3 linked regions of the Caenorhabditis elegans genome follow. The protein of the gene in region 1 purifies or fractionates together with the protein of each later gene. This does not show direct contact. Each region holds a gene or a part of one and is shown on either strand. Other genes may lie near its edges.

Region 1 (4,782 bases):
ACAATCTGCTCGAACTTGGCTCTGGTGAGCTTCAAGTTAAGATGTTTTGGTCCAGATTGATCCATGGTGATGTATGGAAGATTAATGTCGGTCTGGGTGGTGGATGAAAGTTCGCACTTGGCCTTCTCGGCGGCTTCACGAAGTCTCTGCATGGCCTGTGGATCCTTGGTAAGATCAACTCCTTGCTCCTTCTTGAACTCTCCAACGAGGTGATGGACGAGAGCGTGATCGAAGTCTTCTCCTCCGAGGAATGTATCTCCGTTGGTGGACTTGACCTCGAAGACGCCCTTTTGGATTTCAAGAATTGACACATCGAAAGTACCACCTCCAAGATCGTAGACAGCGATGCTAAAAAAATATATATTGTGAAAAGTATTACTCGAGCGCTTAGCCTACATCTTATCTCCAGCGTCCTTATCCAATCCATAGGCGAGAGCGGCAGCAGTTGGCTCGTTGATGACACGAAGAACGTTAAGACCAGAGATTTGTCCAGCATCCTTAGTAGCTTGACGCTGAGAATCGTTGAAGTAAGCTGGAACTGTAACAACGGCGTTGTTGACGGTGGTTCCCAAATAGCTTTCGGCAGTTTCCTTCATCTTCATCAGAACGAATGCTCCAACCTGAGATGGGGAATACACTTTTCCTTGAGCCTCAACCCACGCGTCTCCGTTGCTGGCTTTGACAATCTTGTATGGAACGACCTTTCTGAAAAATGAAAATTTAGTGAAAAGAGTCCTTTTTTAAAAGAAAATTTAGTGAAAAGAGTCCTTACAAGTCCTTTTGAACCTCTGGGTCTTCGTATCTTCTTCCGATCAATCTCTTTGTGGCGAAAAGAGTATTGGCAGAGTTGGTAACGGCCTGTCTTTTGGCTGGAGCTCCAACAAGACGCTCACCGTCAGCAGTGAAAGCAACCGTCGATGGAGTGGTTCTGACTCCTTCTGCGTTCTCGATAACTTTTGGAGTCTTTCCTTCCATGATACTGACACAGGAGTTTGTGGTTCCAAGATCAATTCCGATAACATGTCCCTTTGGTTTGTCCGACAAGCTTCTGGCGCTCATCAAGCTCGATCGAGCAATTGTGCGAGCGGAAGACAAGAATGATCGTGCGGAAAGCATAGTGCCTGAAAGAAAATTGCATCATGAACGAAAACGCGAGAAAATAGGATAAAAAGCAGTAAAATATAATTTGTAATCGGTTTTTGAGCTTATTTTGACATTTCCTAAACAAAATGACACAAAATTTGCTTTTCAACCGTTAAACGGGACAATTTCTTGTATTTTTGATAACAAAAGTCAGGGCATTTTGCATCATTTCCACTGAATATGCCAAGTTTTAGGAGAATAATGATGCAAAATATTGGAAAGGAGAGCTAAAAGGTTTAAATTTAATGAATTTTTCGTTGGAAAAAACTCGAGAAATTTCTCGAAAAAAAGAATCACGGGCTTTTGCATCAACTTTCAAACAGAAAAAAACTTCTCGTCTCCGCCCATTTCACATTACGGTCAGGCGGCGGGTCTCGCAGCGCTTGTTGAGATTGTGTGCGCACACATTGCAGTTACGCCCCAATCGCAACACGCGGCGCGTTTTTCTCTTGAATTATTTTTGCTTTATTTTTGGCGAAAATGAGTTTTCTTTTTACAAATAGGGTTGCAATTAAAATTTTAACTTCTTTTTTTAAAATTATTTTACGAGGTGTTAAAATCAATGATTATTTTGCAGAAAACATGGGATTCGCTTCCGCTTCTCGCGAAGAGAAGCTGAAAATGCTGAAGACAAATAAAACAAGAAAAACTACGAAACATTTAAATCGCCTTGCAAAGCGGAAAAAGCTGTCGAGAGAGATTCGCGATGGAATGGCAGATATTAAATCAAGAAAATCTGCAGATTTGAGGCAGAGAGCTGTTAATGTGAGCAATTTTTCGAAAATAAAACAATTTATCCAATAATTTTCAGATTGAAGATGATTTCATCGCCGACAGACAAGCTCATTATGAGAATAGTGATGAAGATTTGCCATTGGACATGATGGACGCAGATATCGATTGGGAGAACAGCGCATTTGCCAACGCAAAAAGGCGGCTTGAGAAAAGTAATTGTTGTTTGAAAATTAGTTAATAAACTTAATAACGTTAAATTGCAGAAAGAAGTGGTGTAGAATCAGACAGCGACGATGAAGATGATGTTGAGAAGAAAAAGAGAAAATTCGCAGGACTACTCGAAGAAGGCCATGAAGAACTTCTGCCGATTAAGCTAAAAGATGGAACACTGATTCGTCCGACACGAGAAAAAGAAGTTAAGGAAGACGAAGAAGAAAAAAGCGGTGATGAAGAAGAAGAAGGAGAAGAGGATGAGCCACATCGGGAAGATTTTTCGCATCTTTCCGCGTCGGAACTTATTGCAAAACGACGGGAATTGATGCAAGAATTCAAAGATACTATTGCATCACATGCTAATATGCTTTTATCAAATCCACAAGTCAATGTAAATTTAATTTTTAATTTTTTCTCAGAAATCTCAATTTTTCAGATCGTCCGTCTCCGAGATCTCTACAATCTGTGCAACGGCGAGAAAATCCACTCGCTGGTGCGAGAATCCGTTCAAAAACTCGCAATCGCTAGTACTCTCCAAGTTCTTCTCGATATTCTCCCGGGTTACGCGATTCGTGAGCAGACGGCCGAGGAAAAAGCCCAGAAACAGAAGAAAGAGACGAGAAATCTCGTTAATTATGAAGAATCGCTGTTGAGATATCACCTCAAGTATTTGCAGTTGTGTGAGAAGCTTTCGAATAGTGAGTGCTTGTATGGACTCGAAATCACTAAAATTACCAAATTTCGTGGCGAAAAACTAAAAATTTCGGCTAATTTCAGCTAAAATCTTCAATTTTGGCTTGTTTTTCGTGCTGCGACCCGGAAAAATAGCCGAAATTGGAGATTTTTTGGCGGAAATCTGCTAGAAATTTTGACCATACCTTCTTAAAGGCGCAAGGATTTATTCTGAAGGGTCCTGGCGCGAAAAATTTATGGTAGTTTTTTTTTTTGTATTTTTAAAGAAATTTTATCGTTTTTTTCTTCATTTTTCTGCTAAAAGTAGTTTTAAATTTCTTTTTTTCAGGCTGACAAACTGGAAAAAAAAACATGCTTTTTAAAAGTTTTATCGTACTAAAATTGTTTTTTAAAACAAATTTTGACAGAAAAAAAAACGGAATTAATCAGTTTTTCTTGCATTTTTCAACGGAATTCTTTCGGTTTTAGCGACTTTTGTCGTTTTCCTTATCATTTCATTGTTAAAAATTGTTTTAAATCAGTTTTCAAAGTACAATGGCACTTTTTTCACTAAAAATGTGATTTTCTCGTTTGTCGGGCTGAAATTAGCTATTTTAAACAATTTTTAACAGAAAATTGAAGAGAAAACAACAATATTCGCTAAAAACAAAGTAATTACATCGAAAATACAAGGAAAAAACTACGATAAACTTTTGCGCGCCGAGACCCATATGAATAAATCCGTGCGCCTTTAAGAAGACATGCCAAAATCAAAAAATCTACTGTAGTTACGAAATAAGAGGATTTACTCTATTGTATCAACAAAAAAAAGCATAAAACTCTAATTTTGACTACTTTTCTGTGTCGCATCAGTCTGAAAGCCACAGAAAACAGGCCAAAATTGAAGATTTTAGCTAGAATTACCACTTTTTTTAAAAATTAAAACAAAAAAAATCCTTTTTTTTTTCAGAATTGGTCGGTAAGGATCGTCATAATGATGAGAGCACGTTCACATTCAAAATGGGAATTCTCTCTGTGAAGGTAATCAATTTCCCACGTCGTGTCAGAGTGTCTCATTTCGGCTTGATCTACGTAGATCTACAAAAAATGCGGGAGAAGAGACGCAGAGTTCTCAACTGATTTTGCATGGTTAAGAACGTGCTGCTGATGTCACATTTGTTTGGGCAAAAAATTCCCGCATTTTCTGTAGATCAAACCGAAATGGGACAGCCTGGGGCACAACGTGATTTCCCGGCTCAAAATCAAAAAAAAACTTTAAAAATTTTTACAGGCGCTAGCTCGAATCGTGGTCTCCGCTCCACACTTCAACTACTCTACGAACATTGTCTCAAGTCTCGTTCGTCTTTCTCTTGCCAAAAATGAGACAGTTATTCGAGAAGTGTGCGAGGCTATCCGGACAGTTTTCAAAGAGGATATTCATCTCAAAATCACCCTGTTCACTGCTCGCTCCATCTCGACTCTCGTGACAAAGAGGAAAGGAAGAGTACCGCCAGAGCTTCTAAGGACTCTTCTATCGATGAATATTACTGAAGTGAAAGATGAGGATAAAAAGTCTGGAAAAGATGCACTTATTGCGAAGAAATATCAAATCAAGAAGGAGAAAGCGAGCAAGACGGCGAAGAAGTATAAGAAACAACTTGCCAGACTTGAAGCCGATCTTTTGGAGGTTGAAGCCGAAGAGTCGATGAGCAAAAAGTTGAAGAACGCCACAGAAGCCATGAAATTCGCCTTTCAATCATATTTCTCAATTTTGAAGCGTATGCCAAACTCGGCTCTTCTCGAGCCAGTTCTCGAAGGACTCAGCAAATTTGCTCATCTTTTGAGCATTGAATTCTACGAGGATATCGTTTCAACTATGGAGAATATGGTTCAAAATGAGAATCTCAAATCATTGGATCAACTTCATTGCATCAATACAGTCTTTGTAATCTTGTCTGGAGATGGTCAACTTTTGAATATTGATCCATCAAAATTCTACCGTCTGGCCTATCGAGTTCT
Region 2 (5,042 bases), on another chromosome or scaffold:
ACGTTTTCCGTTGACTTTTTGGATTATAAAGTGAAAATTGATTTGAAAAGTTGAATTTTAACTGTAAATTCGAAATTTTCGAGTTAGAAACACATTTTCCGTCGATTTTTTGGATTCTAAAGTGAAAACTCAATTTTTTCGATTTTTTTTCATTTTTCGCGGGATTTTTTACTTTTTGGCTGCAAAATAACTTTTTAGCAGTTATTTTTTGGTAATTTGAGACCGATTTCTTCTCTCAAGCCAAATTACGAACCCAAAAAGCTTTCAATATGATTCAAAATCAGTTGTCCAACTGCTCCGCTCGCCGGATGCAACCCGTTATCCGTCGCAGTAACCGGATCGGTAAGAACCGCCCGGATCACACGACGAGCCATCGTACGGACCCACGGCTTGTCGTGAGCCGCCAGAGCAGCCACAGAGACGAGCATATTCCGCGTATTGGCGCTGGACCAGACGGACGCTTGCTGGGCACGGAGGATGATTCCGAGCACTGAAATGAGGTTTTTCAACGCGGATCCTTCGGTGCTATCGACGTTTTCTAGGAGTTTTGTGTAGAGAATCTGCAAATTATTGATTTTTTTAAATTATAGGTGGATTAAAAACATGCCTATGGGATCACAATGACCGAATATCATGATTTAAAAAATCCAAAAAATTTTTCTAAATTTTATATGATTTTTTTTTGAAAATTGCAAATACCCCATTTCTCCCCTAATTCCTATTTAAATTCCCGCGAATTGGATTCGTGCGGTAGAGCGCTGGCACGTTTTCTAAATTTATTTATTTTATTTTTTGTTATTTATTTTCGTCCGATTTTTCATGTTTTCAGTGTATTTTTGCTTGAAATTTGAAGGAAAATTTGAGATAAATGCAAATAATTGATGAAAAAGCAACGAGACACAGTCTGAAAAAAGAAGAACTAACGATTTTAAACGACATCGAATCAGAATTGGCTGATTTCCTAGATTTACGATTTACGCATTTACGCAAATCTATTACGCAAATCGCAAATCTAGGAAATCAGCCAATTCTGGTTCGATGTCGTTTAAAATCGTTAGTTCTTCTTTTTTCAGACTGTGTCTCGTTGCTTTTTCATCAATTATTTGCATTTATCTCAAATTTTCCTTCAAATTTCAAGCAAAAATACACTGAAAACATGAAAAATCGGACGAAAATAAATAGCAAAAAATAAAATAAACAAAATTAAAAAACGTGCAAGCGCGCTCTATCGAACAAATCCAATTGGCGGAAATTTAAATAGAAATTAGGGGAAAATTGTGATTTTTCCAATTTTCAAAAAATCATATAAAATCTGGAAAATTTTTTTGAACATTTTTATCATGATATTTGGTCATTGTGACCCCATAGGCATGTTTTAAAGCAATTTCCCCACTGCCGCTGCTTCACAAAAAGCCCATACCTGCACAAATCTGTGAAACTGAGCTTGAAGCACCTCTTTCGGCACCTTTCTCACAATCAGATGAAGCAGATAAGCGATTGCTGCCGTTCTTCTGGGATTTCCCAGCGAGGATCCTTCCAGCGCGGTCATCAGAGCCGCACAGTACTCAACGTCGGATTCTTTGCCTGAAAATCCCTAATTTTTAGGCCTAAAATTATGGGGGAATTAAACTACCATCCCGCTCTTTGATGACTTCAGCGATTGCTGCCAAAACCGAGACAACCTCTGCTTGAATAGAGGACCCAGATCTGAAGAAATAAATCTATCAGTCTACGGCTCGTGCTTTGGAAAAGAGATTCAAGAGTTTAAAATCAAATTTGAAAATAAAAAATTCCCGGTCTCCTGGAGTGTTATAAATAATTATTAGAGCGCGCTCGTGCGGCACCTCACGAACTCCAGAAGTCGCGGGAATTCGTTCCGCGGGGACAGCAGTTTTTTTGCTATTTTTGGCTCCTATAGGAAATATTTTTGATTTTTTGTTTTATAATATTCTTGAGAAGCATCATCCGAATTGAAAATGTGTAAAATTATGAAATTTAGCCGAAAACTGAAAGTTTTACAGAAGGAAGCCACTACAGTTTTAAAAAAATGTATCAGGATCGCCAGTTTTGCGTTTTATGTGTCGTAAAATATGTCATTTTGTAGAGAATTAAAAGTTTCATACGAATTTTCGTTTGAAAATTTAAAATTGCTTTTATTAAAAGCTTAAAAATTTAAGAAACAAGATTTTAACGTAAAATTGTTGATTTTTTGAATATTTTTATATTAGAAATTAAAGAATTAAAATTTCAAACGAAAATTCTCATGAAACTTTTAATTCTCTACAAAATGACATATTTTACGACGCATAACTCGCAAAACTGGCAATCCTGAAACATTTTTTTAAAAACTATAATGACTTCCTTCTGTAAAACTTTCAGTTTTCGGGCAAATTTCATAATTTTACACATTTTCAATTCGGATGATGCTTCTCAACAATATTATAAAACAAAAAATCAAAAATATTTCTTATAGAAGCCAAAAATAGCAAAAAACTGCTGTCCCCGCTGAACGAATTCCCGCGAATTCTGGAGTTCGTGAGGTGCCGAGCCAGCGCGCTCTAATAATTATGAACACTCCAGGAGGTCGTGAAATTTGTTGAATTTTTGGAAAAAACGCTAAAATTCTCACTTCCAGACCCGATTGACAGAATCAAACGCAGGATTTGTGCAAGCCGTGAATCCGGAGAGCTTAGACAAGCCTCCCTCGGAAACCATGCTTTTCGACGAAGAGCCGATATCCATCGAATGAATCGGAAGAGCCGAGAGCAGCATATCGTCGGCGGCGGCGGTGTTCATGAGACGATCCTCGACGGCAAGCATGCCGGCTCCGCCGAAAGAAGCATTTCTAGCGGCATTGGCAGCGGCGCGATGCTTGCTTCTCGTTGGGTTGCTTTCACATCTGAAAAAACAAAAAAACAATTAAATTTAATTATATTCAACGAATTTATCGACGTTTTCACTCACGCTGATCCTGAATTAAATTTCGCTGCTCCCTTCTTACTTGTACGATGACGGAAATTGCCACCTCCCATTGTTTTTATCTGAAAAAATGACAAATTTGATGGAAAATTCCTAAAACAAGGCGATAAACTGTTGGAAAACGATGAAAACTGATAATTTGAGTGCGCAAAAATTTATTTTATTGATTTTAAGTAAAAAATAACTGAAAAAAACCTTTAAAATGCAAGATTCTCAGCAAGAAATCGGCGAAGAATAGCGAAAAAAAATAAATTGTTCGGTTTTCGTGGCGAGACCCGAGGTGTCCAGAGGCCGCGTCCCCCCGCGTTTTCTAGGCCGTCACGCATTGAAATTGGCGGAAACTCAAATCGTGAAGCGATATTGAACGACAAAAGCTTTTGGAAAAGAGTCAAAATATTTTAAAACATTGTAAAACAAAATTCCAATTTTCATTCAGGTATAAAAGCAATATATTCAATATATAAATCTGAGTAATTCACAATTTGACAGCGAAATTTGCAAAAAAAAAAGTGGTGAAAAACCGTGGGGATTTGTGGGTTAGTGGAAAAGAGGAGAAAAATGTGAATTTTTGGCGAGAAAATGATCAATATCACTCAATCTCATACAACAAATATTCCTTCATAACCGGCGGGATCATCAGCGGCTTGATGCGTTTGTCGGGGTCTGGTCCCATTATGCTTCGGAAACGACGTCGACACAGTTCGAACAACGGTAGCATCTCGACTGCTGAAAAAAAAAAACAAGAATTTCGATTTGGTTCTGGCTTTTCTCGAATTTTTACAACTAAAATTTAGCTAAAACCGAGCCGAGCCGCGACGCGACGCGACACGCAAAGCGCCGTAAATCTACACCGGCCGTGGCCGATTCACAGCGCGTTGCGTGTCGCGTCGCGGCTCGGTTTTATTTGTAAAACATGATTTTAGAAACCGCGATTTCTCAGAAAAGAAACTCCGAGAAGGAGATCTACAAAAAGACAGCCATCACACCCTTTTTTCTGCGCCGCACGTTTACAAAACTCACGTTCCAGTGATCCCAGATGTGTCATGGTAATCTCACAGTCTCCATAAAGAGTCGCCACAGCTGGGTATAATCGTTTTCCCCGGAGATTTTGGAATACAACTCCGAGGTACTCGTTGTCTGTGGCGAATGACAGATTTCCTTGCTCCATGTCCAGAATGCAATAGATCTGAAAATTGATTGTTTTTGGGTTTTTGATCAAAAATTTCAAAAAAAAAAATGTTTTTTTTGTTTTTTATAGCAAAAATGGTTTTTTTGGTATTTTTTGGCAAAAAATTGGTTTTTTTTGTTACAAAATTGAGATTTTTTGGGTTTTTTTAAAGCAAAAAGAGATTTTTTGCCAAAAATAGGTATTTTATTGGCAAAAGATAATTTTTGCCACTTTTTTTTTGGCAAAATTGAGATTTCGGTTTTTTTGACAAAACTTGATTTTTTTGGGTTTTTCAAAACGAAAATTGATTTTTTATCTGGCGAAAATGGTTTTTTTTTTGGGTTTTATGGCCAGAAATTGATTTTTTCGGTTTTTTTTTTTGGGAAAATTGTTCACCTTTTCAGGAACATTGAAACCATCTCGACCATTCCCGTACGGATACTTCCACTTCCACGAACCGTAGTGACATTCTCGTGTAGCTGAAAAAATTGAAGAGTTTGGGTTTTCAATCGCTTTTTCTAAATTTTCTTTTTGTATTTAACATTTAAAACTGGCCAATTTGCATAATATTTGCCTATGGGGTCACAATGACCGAATACCATGATTAAAAATTCAAAATAATTTTCTAGATTTTATATGATTTTTTGAAAATTGAAAAAATCTCACTTTTCCCCTAATTCCTTTTTGAATTTCCGCCAATTGATTCGTTCGATGGAGCGCGCTTGCATTTAAAAAATTTTTTTTTCATCAATTTTTCGCATTTTTGACTGATTTTTCATGTTTTTTCGTGTAATTTTATTGGAAATTTACCGAAAAATTCAAGATAAATGTAAATTGTTCATTAAAAAGCGGGTATTAAAGTCTAAATTTGTGAAATTGAATATTTCAGGCTCTC
Region 3 (3,115 bases), on another chromosome or scaffold:
TTTCAGTTTAAAATTGATATATTCGTAAAAATAAGATGTTCTTAAAAATTCTGAGAATGCGTGTTGCGCAAAATATCTCGTAGCAAAAGCTACTGTAATTATTTTATATGACTATTGTACCGTTCAAAATTACTATCCAAATATTTGATTTTTTGTTTTAAAAAATTATTTGGAATTTACTCAAATATTGAAAACAATATTATCGAAATTCCAGAAAATTTGGTGGAAATTCCGAAAATTTCAATTTTTTCGCTAATTTTCGAGAAAAAAAAAATTAAAATTTGGATTATATGAAATAAATTTCCAAACATTAAATTAAAAATTTTTTTTTTTTGGATTTTCCAATCTCGAACCTTCAAAAATTGAATTTTTTTGAAATTTTTTTTCGGAAAAAGTAAAAAATGCTCGAAATATCGACAAAAAGTTGAAGTATTTTTTTTTGTAAAATTGGAGATTTTTGAGATAAAAAATCTGAATTTTCATTCAAATCTTGAACATCAAAATCAGCAAAAAAAATTGCTATAAATTTATTTAAATAAGATTTAAAAAGAGTAATTCGCTATGATTTCAAATTTTCAAAAAAAAAAATTTTTTTTTCAAGTTTTAATTTTTGAACACTATCAAAAAATTTATTTTTAAACCAAAAAAATTCCGAATTTTCTGTAAAATCTCAAAAAAAAAACATTCCTAGAAATTTAATCGAATATGATTTAATAATACTATTTTTAAATCATATTCAATTACATTTCTAGGAATTATTTTTGCTAGATTTCAAAAAGTGTATGAAAAATTAAAACTTTTTGAAAAAAAAACTGTTCTAAATATAATTTATAACACCAGAAATTCACTAATAACACTCCACATTTTTCCAGACCTCCCACCAACTATTCGCCAAAAACCGTGCAAAACGAGTGATCGCCGTGCTCGGCGACGGTGTGGACGCGAATCTGCTGGACGATGAGCTCGGACAGATTCTACGGAAGCACACGAGAATCGAGATGCGGAGCCATTTATTCTGGACACTTTTGCACTCATCACTTCCATCACGACTTCCATTACCATCGAATAGTGGCGATGATTCGTCTCAACTATATTCGGATATCTATGGAATTGTGCCTTCCGATGTTGTTTAGCTTACAGTTTTCCCGTTTAGGTCACAGTTTTTAGTATTTTTTTTCCTCTTCCAAATGTACGAGTTTCCATTATTCACGAGGTTTCTTTTTCACCCCCAATTCTTCTGTGCACAATTTGCCATTTTTTGAATTTTTACAACAATACCGGTACTATATTTTTCGATTTTCTTTCTTTTTCTATGAATCTTGCCATCATTCTCTAATAATTGACCAGCGATTATATTTTTGATTTAATAATTGAATATTCTCGTTTTTCAGTTCAAATTATTGCTTTTTTCTGTCACCACAAATTCAAATTCTCGTCCTACCCTGTGTGATCTTCTGTAATATATATATATTAATAATCGTCGTTTCTTCTTGTTGTCATTTGCGGATGCTTATGAAGCTTGTATTTTAATTTTTTGTTTTGTTTTTTTTCCTGTTTCAGCTGCAAAAAATTCGGTAGAAATTCTTGAAAACACGCAAAAAATGAATAAAAAAAATAGTATATTAGCTTGTTCGAGAGGAGTTCACAAGCGGGTGGCCTAACATCTCCGCGGCCGCCCAGTGGTGTACTCCTCTCGGGTGAAAGAATTCCCATTTTATCATCAGTTTTTCGGCCTATTTTTTCAGTTTTTCTCAACTAAATAGTCAATTATCTCTTAAATAATGTCGAAATTAATTTAATTTACACATTTTTCCAATAAAATTCCAATTTTCGGTCATTAAATTACCCCTTTCGAATTTTGCTCTCAAAAATTAAATTTTCATCGATTTTTAATTCTCAAAATTCTTGAATTTTCAGCGAAGATGGGCAAATTCAGCAATCAGAAGAAAAATCGTGTCAAGAACAAGGTGGCGGTGACAGTAAAAAAAGCGCAACGCATGAAGGCAGACGCTAAAAATGCCAAAAAAGACGGTGAAGTGGATGTTGAGATGAAGGAGGAGGTGGTGAGAGTCAGAGGACTCGCCGTATCGTCGCTGGTGAGAAAAAAAAGGAAAAACTCGGCGAAATTCTTGATTTTGATTTTTTTTTTCAGAAAAAATTGGCCTCCGGTGAGCTGCAAAACGTGCCAAAAGTGAACGAGAAGAAGATTATCCGCAAGACAGAGCTTCCAGTTCGAGAGAAGTAGGATTTTCTCGATCTCTCCAAACAAAAAAATTGTTTTTTTCAATTTCAGCAAAAAGATCCTGGACGCTCCGACTGGAAAACGTGGCACCACTGCTCAATACATCACAAAAAAGAAGGCAAAGAAGATGTACAAGAAGATGACACACGACGCACGCGACAAATATCGAAAAATTCAGGCGGAACTGGCCGGAGACGGTGAAGATGACGAGGAGGGTGAAGCCGAGGTGATGGAGCAGTGATTTTGGATTTTTCCGCGGCATTTTTAAAATTGTTTTTTTTTGTTGATTTTGTTACTGTTTTTCATTTTCCACATAAAATAATCGAAAATTTATTTATCACAAAAACTTTTGCACAATTTGCTCAGCTGAGTGAGCCAACTGTTTGCCACGTGTCACGATTCGATGCATCCATCCATTGGGCTCCTCGAGCTCCGCTTTCGGAGCCTGTAGCTGCTTTAGAATTATTGTCCAGAGCTCAGAAATGTTCATCGAGTACTGCGCGGAAACTTCGACGAAATTGCACTTGTGTACTTTGGCCAGGCAGGCTCCTTCTGGAAAAATCAATTTAAAAATCGATAATTTGAAGTTCCACGTGGAGCCGCGACGCGGCACGCGTTGCATCGTTTTTTTTGGTTGAAAAACATGGTGCATCGAAGAATTTTCCTTTGACGATTTTATACGCAATGCATCACATTTGACGAACAAAAATTCAAAATACTTTACTTTGCAAACGCGCTCCATTGATAAACTTATGAAAAATCGATAATGCTCAAATTTCACAAAATTTTCCTCCATTTGAAATTATATAATTGTTAAACAAAATTAATAAAACCAAACATTACGCGCAGTTTCCGATAAATTTCGATTTTTTC

Evidence for each region. The genes of interacting proteins can lie anywhere in the genome.
Region 2: the proteins of C37H5.5 (region 1) and Y46E12BL.2 fractionate together in Caenorhabditis elegans (co-fractionation; one large-scale study listed by BioGRID). This does not show direct contact.
Region 3: the proteins of C37H5.5 (region 1) and W04C9.4 fractionate together in Caenorhabditis elegans (co-fractionation; one large-scale study listed by BioGRID). This does not show direct contact.

Annotation. Positions count from the first base shown.
Region 1 is NC_003283.11:4,825,640-4,830,421, forward strand, and holds the start of C37H5.5 (Nucleolar complex protein 3 homolog), read left to right. Parts: upstream 1-1,720; 5' UTR 1,721-1,725; coding exon 1,726-1,908; intron 1,909-1,954; coding exon 1,955-2,090; intron 2,091-2,141; coding exon 2,142-2,482; intron 2,483-2,527; coding exon 2,528-2,789; intron 2,790-3,733; coding exon 3,734-3,804; intron 3,805-4,054; coding exon 4,055-4,782. Other genes in the region: Heat shock protein hsp-6, read right to left, coding at 1-348, 397-705, 773-1,116.
Region 2 is NC_003280.10:15,231,152-15,236,193, reverse strand, and holds the start of Y46E12BL.2 (Ribosomal RNA-processing protein 12-like conserved domain-containing protein), read right to left. Parts: upstream 3,042-5,042; 5' UTR 3,033-3,041; coding exon 2,965-3,032; intron 2,900-2,964; coding exon 2,630-2,899; intron 1,708-2,629; coding exon 1,634-1,707; intron 1,585-1,633; coding exon 1,421-1,584; intron 561-1,420; coding exon 254-560; intron 1-253. Other genes in the region: spsb-2 (SPRY domain-containing SOCS box protein 1), read right to left, coding at 3,569-3,705, 4,000-4,165, 4,544-4,626.
Region 3 is NC_003279.8:460,078-463,192, forward strand, and holds W04C9.4 (uncharacterized protein), read left to right. Parts: upstream 1-1,917; 5' UTR 1,918-1,922; coding exon 1,923-2,096; intron 2,097-2,152; coding exon 2,153-2,241; intron 2,242-2,293; coding exon 2,294-2,483; 3' UTR 2,484-2,574; downstream 2,575-3,115. Other genes in the region: tol-1 (TIR domain-containing protein), read left to right, coding at 873-1,133; W04C9.5 (GTP-binding protein), read right to left, coding at 2,580-2,794.